3 linked regions of the Cricetulus griseus genome follow. The protein of the gene in region 1 binds, or shares a complex with, the protein of each later gene. Links are inferred from orthologs where the notes say so. Each region holds a gene or a part of one and is shown on either strand. Other genes may lie near its edges.

Region 1 (4,171 bases):
ACTGGTCGGGATGTATTGTACAAGGGAAGACTCTATTCTTAAAAAATAGAAAAGAAAAGAAAACGGGGAGTTGGGTGGGGTAGTTCACAAAAGTGGAGCCAAAGGGTAGCTGGGCTACCTTTGGACACCAGAGGCTGTTCTGAAGGGCGTGGTCTAGGCAATAGGGGTGGGCTTGGGTGCTGCCCCCCCCCCCCCCCCGCCTGGTCCCGCTCACCTGACCGGTGGGCGTGACTCAGGGCTGCTGCTGATGATTGCTTTGACGGGATACACTGCAAAGAATGCCTGGAAGCAAGAGGTCTTCTTCTCCTGGTCCTACTTTTTCGGATGGCTGGCTTTACCCTTCTCATTTCTTGCGGGTAACCAGCACAAGGGAAAGAGGGTGGAGATTACCCCTCTAGAGGACTCCCCGTCCCAGAAACTTCCCAGTCACCTGTTCTCCCAGGAAAGCCCAACACCCGCACTCCAGACTCCAGCACACCCGGTGGAGACACCCCTGGAGCCCCCATCCCTAGTCCTCAGGCAGGCCATGTCATCCGCCCCAGGACCCAACTTCCTCCACCGGCTCTGCACTCCCCTCCTGCCAGGCTTCTGCTTTCTGCTGGCGGACATGATCATGCAGAGCACCGAAGCCATCAGCGGGTTCCCAGTGTGCCTGTGAATGCAGCCTGACTGGGGCAGAATAAAGGAAAGGGTTTTAACGCCGGTCCTGCGTGCTTTTCTGAGGGACGCAGATAGGCGGGGGCACGGATACGGAGGGCGCGTGGAGAGTAAAGGGGGTCAGGAAGAATGCGGGCCGGTGGGAAGGGAGATCGGAAGGGACCTGGAGTGGACCCGGGGTGGGGGTGTGGGTCTCAGGAGACCTGGACGCAGGGAGAGGACATGGGGACGAGCCGACGCGGGGGAGTCACGGGGAAGGAAAGTGTAGATGCATAGATATCGAAGGAATCTACAGAAAGAACGCGGAGTTCCAGCAAGCAAAGGGCCATCGGGCATGGGGAAAAAGGCGTAGGGTGCGCGTGGGAACAGACACGGCGACTTGGAGTGAGAAAAAGAGAACCTGGATGTGAACTGCAAAGCTGAGGACAACAGAAGTATGGGGGGTGGGGAGTAGGATGAACACTCTCCCAGAAAATTTCACTCCTAGGGATGCCCTTTCCCCTACTTCTGCGCCACGCCCCCTCCACCCATCGGCCCGCCCTGGATCCCGCCTCTCTCCCTGAACTCCGTTTACCATTGGCTTCCTCTGGGCTGTGCGGCGGTTGACTGGTTGGTGGTGCGACGCGCAGGCGCAGAGAGACAGACGGGGCGGAGTGACCTGAGGTCTGGATTCATCGCTACCCGATCCGGCCGGTGACTGCTACAGGAAGATGGCGGAGCTGCGCGCGCTCGTGGCTGTCAAGAGGGTCATCGACTTCGCTGTGAAGGTGACTTTCCCCACCCCGACTCTGCCCCAGCACCTTGAGACCGCAGCTGTGAGCTTCCAGGATCAGGAGCGTACCCTGCCTGGGATCCTTCTCAAATTCTATAGCCCTTTGACCCAGTCAGTCATACCTGGAGCAAAGATCAAGGGCTGTGAGTTTCGGACAATCATATCCTTCTGGAGTCATGACCCCGCTTCCCTCTTTCTCAGTCCCTTGATAACTGTGGGCTGGAGGGTCCTAGTCCCTATTTAACACATGGGGAAACTAAGGCACAAAGTCACTTAGCAAGGGAGAAGCGGAATAGAGACTTGTGTGTAGGGCCTGTGATTCAGTCACTCATCCCTTTCCCGCCTGACTGCATTGCCTGCTCTGCAAGTACCCCACATGGGGAGCCATCTGGTTCCATGGGGCTCAGAAACTGCCTCACACACATTACCACGGGTTGCTTGAAGAAACTCTTGCTAGAAAGGGAAGGAGACTTTTGTTTGCTGGAGAAGCTAATGCAAAGGCGCCAGCTTGACAGACAGTGGAGGGAGGCTTAACCCTAACCCATGAGAGAGGTTTGAGGGCTGGACCCCAGAGGTCCTAGCTGGTATAGGCAGTTATGAATCAGACTGTTTCCCAGGCCAGTCTCTGTCAATGACTGGTCGAACTGAACTGGAATGAAAAAGATGGTGGCAGTTCACGTCTGTCCCCATCATACTGGGAATTCTCCCTCCGTGTCCTTCAAATTTCCTAGCATTCATAGCATAGGGTCTATGCACCCAAGAGACCTCCAAAATAGGTGAAAACTGGCTACAACATTGACATTAATACCGGCATCCCCATACCCCCACTGAGGAATACAGGCAACAGACTCAGATGTGAAATGGCCATGACCCTAACAGCAGACATTGAAGTGGGTACAAAGTACCAGCAGAAACAAGTCCTGTACAGAGACTATAATCTATTTGTACATCTTCTGTACTCTTAACCCCATAGAGCGGATGAGGAAACCTAGGCCTGTGGAGGCCTTGCTACAGATCCCCCCAGCTGGATAAGCTGCAAGAATCAGAAGTCCAGGCAAATCTGGCTCTCAGCCCATATGCTAGAGAGAAAACAGGATGGCTTGAGGATGCTTCTAGCAGCTCATGGCAGAGATGGTTTCCAGACTTACTGAGACATACATGGGTTCCTGGGACCCAACTCAACCACCATTTATTTGTTTGTTTATTGTGTCTGTGTGTGTTGATGGGGAATCAAATTCAGGACCTTCCAAATGCTAGGCCAGGCGAGTGCTGTACCACTGAGCTATAGTTCCAGTCCTTTTACTGTTTTATTTTTATAATTATTATTTGAAACAGGGTCCTTTTCCTTTAATATTTGTAAATGATTCATTTAATTTTTTTTATGTGCATTGGTGTTTTGCCTGTAGCTTGCATGTGTGAGGTTGTTGAATACCCTGAAGCTGGAGTTTGCAGACAATTGTGAGCTACCTTGTGGGTAGCCTAGGTCATCAGGAAGTGCAATCAGTGCTCTTAACCACTGAGTCATCTCTCCAGTCCCTAATTTATTTTTTTAATTATGTTTATGTGTATGGATATGCGCACATAAGTATAGATGCCCTTGAAAGCCAAAACAGGGTATCAGAGCCCCTGAAGCCATTGTTACAGGTGACTGTGAGCTGCCTGACAGGGTGTTGGGAACTGAACCTGGGTCCTTTAGAAGAGAACAAAGTGTTCCTAGCTGCTGAGCTATCTCCCCAGCCCCTAAGATTGTCTTATTTAGCCAGGCGTTGGTGGCGCATGCTTTTAATCCCAGCACTCAGGAGGCAGAGGCAGGCGGATCTCTGTGAGTTCGAGGCCAGCTTGGTCTCCAGAGCGAGTGCCAGGATAGGCTCCAAAGCTGCACAGAGAAACCCTGTCTCAAAAAATAAAAAACAAAACAAAACAAACAAACAAACAAAAGACTGTCTTATTTAGTACAGGTTGGCCTGGAACTCACTATATCGAGGATGACCTTGAAACCCTGATCTTCCTGCCTCCACATCCTTAGTGCTGGAATTACAAATGTGTACTACCATGCCTGTGTCTCTGAGTTTTATTCTGAGGTGTTTAATTGCCCAGGCTGGGCTTAGACTCCCATCCCCAGCCTCTCAGCTGGGCTTGATGCTTGGCCTATAGCACCACACCCAGCATCCTCACCACCTTGAATTGGCTCTAATCCCAGCACCACCCAGTCAGAACGTGGCCCATGGTCATTTCTGGTATTTCCAGTGAGAACTGAGAGCTAAGAGGTGAACACAGCATGGTGTCTGCTGCTCTCCTTTCCTCAGGGTCGGTGGCGCTTCTCCTTCACACTCCGGCATGCAGGGCTTCCTACTTCATATCCAATGTCTGCTGGTACTCCCTTCAGGGGAGGCAGTGAGTTAGACTTCGAGAGCGACCTAATCACTTGGGCCAGACTTAGGCACCATTCTTTCTCTTATCCCACAACCTCCCAGGAATTGTCAGTTCTCAGCCCCAATCCTAATACACTATGGTTTCCTTTCCAGCCCCAGGCCCAAGACCCCAGGTCCCAGCCCATTGGCCCCTGTTCCACTTAAACCCGAGATCCGGCCTGGCCCCTGTATTATTGGGCTCTCTCCTTCAGCCCTTTCTCATCCAGCCTTAGGGACTTCCTACATGCAGGACTGACCTTGTCTTGCCCTTTTCGGTGTTCTGTGGCTCCCCAGCACTCTCAGTATAAAGTCCTTGGGCTGGCTTTGGGGA
Region 2 (3,949 bases), on another chromosome or scaffold:
AAGACTTTCTCCGGAAAGACTGTTATTATTATTAATCTTGTTGATTGGACTATTTATCTCACAATGAAATCCACACCACCATTTACAGGCTTTGGTGTGTTGGATAATGCTACAGGCAAGGCAGAGAGTAGCTGAGAATTTTTCGCCATTCATTAGTGGCTCCAAAATAAGTTCCTGTCTCCACTCTGCTTATTTGAAGCAGAAAGCAAGAGGCCTCTGACAGCACATTTTCCTTAATCTTTGGCAACTGAGGTGTCCAACACAGAGAAGTTTATTATCCCTCACCTCCATAACACCCCAGCCACCATCTCAGGCCCTAGGTCTAACTGGAAGACTTTGAGCTGAACTCGTGAACAAAATGTTTACTCCCAATGCTCACTGGCAGGGGAGCTTTTAGATGGGCTCAGCTTGCGTGTCCAAGGATACTTTACACACACACACACACACACACACACACACACACACACACACACACACACACACACACGTGGATGGACAAGAAGTAACCCTGAGCATGTTCAGAAAAGTACAAGTCATTGAAGCTGTTTTGCTTTGGTTTGTTTAGGAGTTGGATCTTGCTACTTAGCTCTGGCTGGCCTCAAACTCAGGGTAATCTTCCTTCTCAGTGTCCTGGCAGTGCGCAAGCGATTGCGTTCCTATTTAAAATGTCAGAGGCGCGGGCATCCTCTCGCTCCAGTGCAGCGTTGGGAGCTGAGCACACACTGAAGCCACAGAGTGCAAGTCGGTGGATCTGACTCTCCGAGTAAAGGTCACAGCTGCGCCCTCTGGCCCGGATGGAGCCCGGCCAGCTCTGGGGGGGACACTGCCCGGAGGACGCGACCTCGGGGAGCCGGTGCCCGGAGGCAGACAGCCCAGCCCGAGCCAAGGTCGCGTGCACAGCGCAGGCGCGCGAGAACCTGGGCCCCTCCCTCTTCGGGCACCGGCCCAGACCCCAGAAGCGCCTGACACCCCCAGTCTGCCGCCACGACCACGCCCCCGAGGCCTTCTGCCAGGGCGGGCCACGCCCCTGCCTAGCCAAGATTCAGTGGGTCTGTTGAGTCGCCCTGCCACGCCCCACATTTCCGCGAAGGCCCCGCCCCTATGGCCCCGCCCCGAGCTCCACGCCACGCCCCTGTGGGCGGGGCCCCAGGCGGAGGCGCTCAGTAGTTTGTGTGCGGTGGTCGAGGCGGGCGAGCGCGGAGTCATCATGGCAGCTGCGTTCCGCAGAGGCTGCGGGGTGAGCGGGGTGCGAGCCGGAGCGCCAGCCGGAGCGGGAGCCGGAGCGGGAGCGGGAGGGAGGGCGGGCGGGGGCCTGCGCGGACCCCTATCCTCATCCACCCTTCCCGAAGGCGGGGCAGCCGGGGTCCCGAACCCGCTCTGGCAGCCGGGAGTTCTTGCAGAAAACTCTGGCTGCAGCCCCACGCGGAAGGCGTCAAAAGGTGTGTGGTTCCGCAGCTTCGGGTGAGCAAAGGTGTTAGGATCCCGGGTGAGCGGCTCAGAACTAATCCTAGCCGAAGGGAACGCCGGAGGTTTTGTAATGCACCGGCAGGCTTCCAAAAACTCAAGGGAGAAGGCAGAACCTGCGGAAGAACATCTGTGTCTGTGCCCTCCAGCGTTGTCCTCCGAAGTCTGTTTAGTCGCTAGATTCTCTGGCATCTTAAACAATATCGATGTACTCGTACAGGCCTTCCATTTCTGCCACCTGAAACTGGATTAAAATTGCCTCTAACCCCACAAAAAGACGTAATACTAGAATTTACAGTGATTTCATTATGGTACTGATTAGATATAAGTTAACAGGCTCTAAAAACAGAACTTGCAGGGCTTTTTACATTAGTTTTAATTCTTAACGACAGAACTAAAGGCTTCCTGGTCCCTCCAAGGGCAAGTGAAGGAAAGTGCAACCCCATAACTAATCAGAAAACGTGTCACATTTTTATATCTTTTCCCACGCCGCTGTAAACCCAGACTTAAATGTCTAAGAAATTTCGTTATTTAGTTGTGCTCTTGTAGATTTGAGAACTAAAGTTACTGGTTGTTCCCATATGTGGAATTCTGCTGCTTTTGGACAGTTTTTTTTTGAACCGGGAATAATTTAAACACAGTATTATGACTAGAATTTGAGAACATCGTATTTGTTGCTTATTTATATCCAGGCTGGTCCAGAGCTCACAGCTTCTCTTCCTTCCAAACACTGCTACCTATCTTCCAAGCCTGGCTGTCTTATCTTAATCATCTCCAGTCATCCACCAGGATAGTGAGCCCCGTTTTCCAGGTGTGAATACAGTAAGGATTCGGGAACACTGCTGGCCTGCCCCTGTCACCTGACAGATGCACTCTGGCAGTGACCTGGTCAGCCCAGCTGCAAAGGACTCTTTTAAAAGACAGACCCGCCCACTTGTGCTCTCTTTCCCTTTCTTTCCTGCTGTTCCCCTGGGGCAGACAGGACTTTTCCTGTCTCCCTCTTCTCTGCTGCCCTCTCTGTCCCCATGTCTCTTCCTTTTCTCTTTCCTTCCCCCCACCCCCCACTACCTTTCTAATGAAACTTCTCACTAAGCTCTGTCTGCCTGGCGTGTTTGTCCCCCTAAGTCACCCTCGACTGCCAAGGAATCCTCAAGGTTCCCCATGCAAGGTCCCCCTCAAGCTTTATCATAACTAATATAAGTTGTGTATTTGGAACCGTTCTGAGATGGACATTTGTGAATCTTGCACTCAGTGTTGCAACACTAGCTTCTTAACCCAGTGTTCTTTGTTTATTCTGTTTCTGCAAAGCTACCACACACACACACACACACACCCTGCTCATCCTGCACAACCAATTAGAGGCCCGTGTGTTAAGCTACTCTAATTAAATGACTAATATCAATACTTAACCAGCCCAGCCCTGGGGCCTCCACTCCAATTTTGTAGACAGGTGATCTTCATCTAATCTCAAGTGGAGGCAGAAGAATTAGGATCCCAAGGCCAGCCTGGATTCCACAGTGGGCTTGGGGCCATCCTGAACTACCTCAAAAGAATTTGTCCTAAAACAAACACAAAACCAATTATTAGGGCCTGGAGTGGTGGCGCATGCCTTTAACCCTGTACTCCGGAGTGAGAGGCAGGTGGATCCCTGGGGGTTCAAGGCCAGCCTGGAGTGAGTTTCCAGGTCAGCTGTGGCTATACACTGAGACCTGGCCTCAAAAATAAAACAAACTTTAGTAGCAACAAAAAAACTGCCTTCAGGGACATACACACCCAACTGATAATGGTTTGTTTTCTTGTTTGTTTGTTGTTTTTCAGTATTGCTACTCTTGCCAAGGACCCAAGTTTGCTTCCCAGCACTGACGTGGGTGGCTCACAACTGTCCATAACTCCAACTCCAGGGCATTCCACACCCTCCTCTGGCCTTTCCCACACATATATGTAGACAAACACATAAGTGAAAATAAAACCAAACTAAATAGCATTTTCTTCTGTGGATAGGTGTCCATCTAGCTTGTAATTTACTTTTGAATTATAACTTTAAGTATTTGGTTACTGACTATAAAAACGTAGCTCTTGAATGTGACCATATATATGCTGTGCTCATTTTGGATGGTCAGTATAAATAATTTATTTGTGCCAGGGTATGTCTGTGTGAGACTCTCAGAGTGCAGAGTAGGTGTGGAGGTTAGGTGTCAATAGTGGCAGTCAGTTTCCTCCCACCAAGTGACTCCCAGGGATCAATCTTAGGTCATCAGTGGCCCAGCCAGTGTTCTTTCGTTTGATTGATACTCAGCTTATCAGACTTAATTGTGATACACGTATCTTTTCCAGGTCCTAAGAAGTCTTTCTCATTTCGAGTGGCGAGCACAACACACGAAAACATCTGTCAAGCAGGAGCCAGGATTAGGGTTTAATTTTGGTATGTGTTATGTCCTGTCCTTTGACTTGAAAATATATGTTTGCAATATGTTTGTAAAGGTGA
Region 3 (3,510 bases), on another chromosome or scaffold:
TGAGAGAGTGAAGGTGTTTTCTGTTCGAGGGACATCTTTTGAGGCTGCAGCAACAAGTGGAGGTAGTGCTAGTTCAGAAAAGGGTAAGTACTCATTTGAGCCTTTTGATAGGCTGGCATTTCTGTGGGTTATGTCAGAATAAGAGATGACCTCTGGTTTCATTTCTAGTGCAAAGTAAAAATTCAACTGACCCATATTCCAAGGTTATGTAAATAATTATAATTTATGTCTCTTTCATTTCCTCTTGGTACAAGGATAATCATTTTGGTAGATTGAAAGAGTAGGAAAGAGATCAATTAAGATTAATCTGTTATGTTTGTGTTAGGACTTTTTAACTTTCATTATTGTTTACTATTGTGACATTTGAGTGATTCAATATAATAGAAGAATGTAATAATAGGGGTCACAATTTAACATGTCTGACATGTTATTTGAATACTAGAGAGAATTGATTATTCTAGGGATTGTTTTGTTTGTTTGTTTTCAAGACAGGGTTTCTCTATGTAATAGGTCTGACTGTCCTGAAACTCGCTCTGTAGACCAGGCTGGCCTCAAACTGAGAGATCTGCCTGCCTCTGCCTCCCAAGTGCTGGGATTAAAGGTGTGTACCACCACCTGGCTATTCTGGTTTTGACAGATGAATTTAGGAGTAGCAAATGACTTCCCAAAATAATCTTGTCCTCTTAAACCTTTATAATTAAAGAAAATTAAATTGGAAACATGAAAATTTATGAACTTAAATTTCCTAGAATTGGATGTTTGTGTGTTGGTTTTAAAAATAATTATCACTATATAACTTGAAGTCATTATCATTTTTTAATTTAATTGATCAATGTGTGCAGCACCAAGTTCTTCACCAGTGGGAATATCAGAGTGGCTTGATCAGAAGTTGACAAAAAGTGATCGACCAGAATTAACCGGTGCCAAAGTGGTGGTATCTGGTGGTAAGTGCAGTAGTAATTTAAAAGATAACTTAAGCTATACCCTGTAGACTTCATTTAAAAAATACAGGCTTTTATGTAGTTTTTGGTGGTGCTAGGAATGGAACTCAGGGTCTTGCATGTGGTAGGCAAGCTCTATACTATTGTGCTGAGTCTGTAGTCTAGAGCATAGGTTTTTCTATTTTGTTTTGAGGGTTTTTTTATTTTTTTACATTTCAGTGGGTTTATTTTATTTTATTTGTTTTTATTTTATGTCCATTGATGTTTTGCCATGGGTGTCATGTCCCCTGGAACTGGAATTTTGAGAGTTGTGAGTTGCCATGTGGGTGCTGGGAATTGAACCTGGGTCCTCTGGAAGAGCAGCCAGTGCTCTTACCACTGAGCCATCTCTACAGCCACTTAATTTTTCTTTCCAAATGTCAGCAGTTGGTAAGTTGCAAGTATTAGTCATATTTTATCAGGAATATGAAATTATGACAATAATACAAAATTTGGGCTTACTGTCACACATTTGTTGATGGCATCTGGGGAACAGGGCACAAATCTCATTCCACACCTCTGCCACATGGTGTTTTTATTTTACAGACTTCTGTGTTTTTCTATGGCATTTGATTGCTTCTGAATAGTGGGGAAAGTGGTTGTAATCTTGAAGTTGTATATAAACCCCCTGCCCCATTCTACTTTCAAGGGCTTTCAGGATTATACAGGTCTTTGTGGATGACACTTAGGACGCCCTTTACAGTTAATGTCAGGGCCTGAGTGTGGCATAACACTTACCTCTTTTTATGTATTGTCCTTTATAATATGTTGACTGACTTTTTGAGAAGTTAAGGAATGATGTGATTTTTAAAATCTTTCCAAATTAAACATTAAACAAAATAGTTAATGTTCCCAACAGCCATCTATTGCTCAAGAGGTATTCAGAGGGAGCGGTTTAATATTTTGCAAAGATGTTTATCTTGTTTATTGGTTTGTATATTTAGCAAATATTAGTCCATATCTGTTCTGTGATGGGCCTGATGCATTTTCATTTTCTGGAGAAATAAAAATAAAAAATTAGAATGTATTTGCTCTTAAGGAGTTTGAAATCTAGGAGGAACTTCCATTCAGTCATGCAGGGAATATTTACCAAGTTCTTGTCAGAGTTTGCTAATATCACAGATAGAGCAGTGACCTAGAGAATAGTGGATTTTGCATCTTGAACTTAGAAAGTGTTTTCATTGTAGTGGAGAAACAGCAAACATTACAGTGTTCTTTATGTAGTTAATTAATTGCAATGCTGACTGCTTCATAGATGTCAGAAAAGGCTTTGTAGAGAAGGTAATATTTTTAATGCAGCAGTTTGTAATATGGGCTTTCAGTTGGGCATATAAAATGGCAAACATTTTACAGAGTGAAACTTGTATATACCTAATTTCTTTTATCTTTTTTAATGAGGTCGGGGCTTGAAGAGTGGGGAGAACTTTAAGCTACTGTACGATCTGGCAGATCAACTGCACGCTGCAGGTAAAGGCATCTTCCTTTGTACCAGAATGCTTTCTTTATGCTGGAAATGTTTTTCATTGTTTCATTTATATATAAGTCCTCCATATATATATAAGTCACATTAGTTTGCTTTCTATGGTTTTCAGTTTTTATTTTGTTTATTTATCAACTCAGCTTTGTTATCATTTATCAATTATACAAAATAGCATTTGGTTGTGGCATTTCTATTGATGTACATCACATCATTTGGTCATTTTTCCCGTGATTACTTGTTTCTTTTCTTCCTTCTTTTTCCTCCTTCTCTTTCCATGTAGTTCCCCTGTGATTTCCATGTCTTTATTTTTTTTAAAACTGGATTCTGCATGAGAGAAAGCATAAGATATTTGCTTTTCAGCATCTGACTTATTTTGCTTAACATGACTTCCAGTTTTGACCATTATTTTATTCTTTCTGCAGTGGTTTTCTTAGACCTCCAATAAATGCTGAAACATCTCATTAAAGGGGGGTTTCCTAGTAATTTTTAAAGAGTATGTGGCAGTTTTACTTTTGCCAAGCCTTGGGAATCTATCTAGTTTTGATTTTTAAAGTACTAAAATGCCACCTTCAGAGCCTTCTGCAGACCTCTTATTAGCTGTTCTTCAACCTCCTCACATGCTCTGATTCCTGTATGACTATATATAAATGTACTTTCCTATATATATATATATATATATATATATATATATATTCACATACATACATACATATGTATGTATGTGTGTACTGGAAAAAATGATTTTTTTTTAAAAAAAGATTTTTTTTAAAAAAAAATCCATGGTAGCAGAAATGACTGCATCTTATAAACATAGAAAACTGGAAGGAGTGAGGAAAGAATCTCTGAATTTGAGGATATGCCACAGATGTGCTTAAAGCTAAAAAGTAAAGAGAAAAAAGAGCTAGAAAACAACAATAAAATATCTAGTAACTAGGGGACAACTCTAAAAAATACAAGTAATATGATACAAAGCAAAGTAAAAAGTAACTACAACTGAAGATGGGTATAATGTGGAGTTGGGAGAAAAGAACAGGTGTGGTTTATACAGCA

The links.
Region 2: the proteins of Etfb (region 1) and Acadm are in contact, whole or in part, in a crystal structure (PDB 2A1T), measured with the Homo sapiens proteins. The link is inferred for Cricetulus griseus from reciprocal best matches to the Homo sapiens genes ETFB and ACADM. Residues at the interface, in NP_001976.1 of Homo sapiens: Glu73, Arg76, Thr77, Tyr192, Ala193, Thr194, Leu195, Pro196, Ile198, Met199, Lys202; in NP_000007.1 of Homo sapiens: Glu43, Gln44, Lys46, Glu47, Phe48, Thr51, Lys54, Phe55, Glu58, Glu59, Arg80, Glu83, Leu84, Gly85, Leu86, Leu98, Leu100, Ile108.
Region 3: the proteins of Etfb (region 1) and Etfa are in contact, whole or in part, in a crystal structure (PDB 2A1U), measured with the Homo sapiens proteins. The link is inferred for Cricetulus griseus from reciprocal best matches to the Homo sapiens genes ETFB and ETFA. Residues at the interface, in NP_001976.1 of Homo sapiens: Ile14, Tyr16, Val18, Ile20, Val22, Val29, Thr31, Phe41, Leu102, Arg106, Lys124, Gln125, Ile127, Asp128, Asp129, Asp130, Cys131, Asn132, Gln133, Gln136, Met137, Ala139, Gly140, Phe141, Asp143, Trp144, Pro145, Gln146, Thr148, Phe149; in NP_000117.1 of Homo sapiens: Glu27, Leu88, Pro89, Glu90, Ser113, Ala114, Phe115, Lys117, Asn118, Pro121, Arg122, Ala124, Ala125, Lys126, Glu128, Val129, Ala130, Pro131, Ile132, Ser133, Arg146, Thr147, Ile148, Tyr149, Ala150, Gly151, Asn152, Ala153, Leu154, Cys155.

Annotation. Positions count from the first base shown.
Region 1 is NC_048599.1:152,602,730-152,606,900, forward strand, and holds the start of Etfb (electron transfer flavoprotein subunit beta), read left to right. Parts: upstream 1-1,367; coding exon 1,368-1,424; intron 1,425-4,171. Other genes in the region: Cldnd2 (claudin domain-containing protein 2), read left to right, coding at 237-356, 585-658. UniProt on the Homo sapiens protein: Heterodimeric electron transfer flavoprotein that accepts electrons from several mitochondrial dehydrogenases, including acyl-CoA dehydrogenases, glutaryl-CoA and sarcosine dehydrogenase.
Region 2 is NW_023276806.1:5,452,581-5,456,529, forward strand, and holds the start of Acadm (medium-chain specific acyl-CoA dehydrogenase, mitochondrial), read left to right. Parts: upstream 1-1,139; 5' UTR 1,140-1,207; coding exon 1,208-1,246; intron 1,247-3,798; coding exon 3,799-3,886; intron 3,887-3,949. UniProt on the Homo sapiens protein: Medium-chain specific acyl-CoA dehydrogenase is one of the acyl-CoA dehydrogenases that catalyze the first step of mitochondrial fatty acid beta-oxidation, an aerobic process breaking down fatty acids into acetyl-CoA and allowing the production of energy from fats.
Region 3 is NC_048597.1:167,107,380-167,110,889, reverse strand, and holds part of Etfa (electron transfer flavoprotein subunit alpha, mitochondrial), read left to right. Parts: coding exon 1-83; intron 84-842; coding exon 843-944; intron 945-2,378; coding exon 2,379-2,447; intron 2,448-3,510. UniProt on the Homo sapiens protein: Heterodimeric electron transfer flavoprotein that accepts electrons from several mitochondrial dehydrogenases, including acyl-CoA dehydrogenases, glutaryl-CoA and sarcosine dehydrogenase.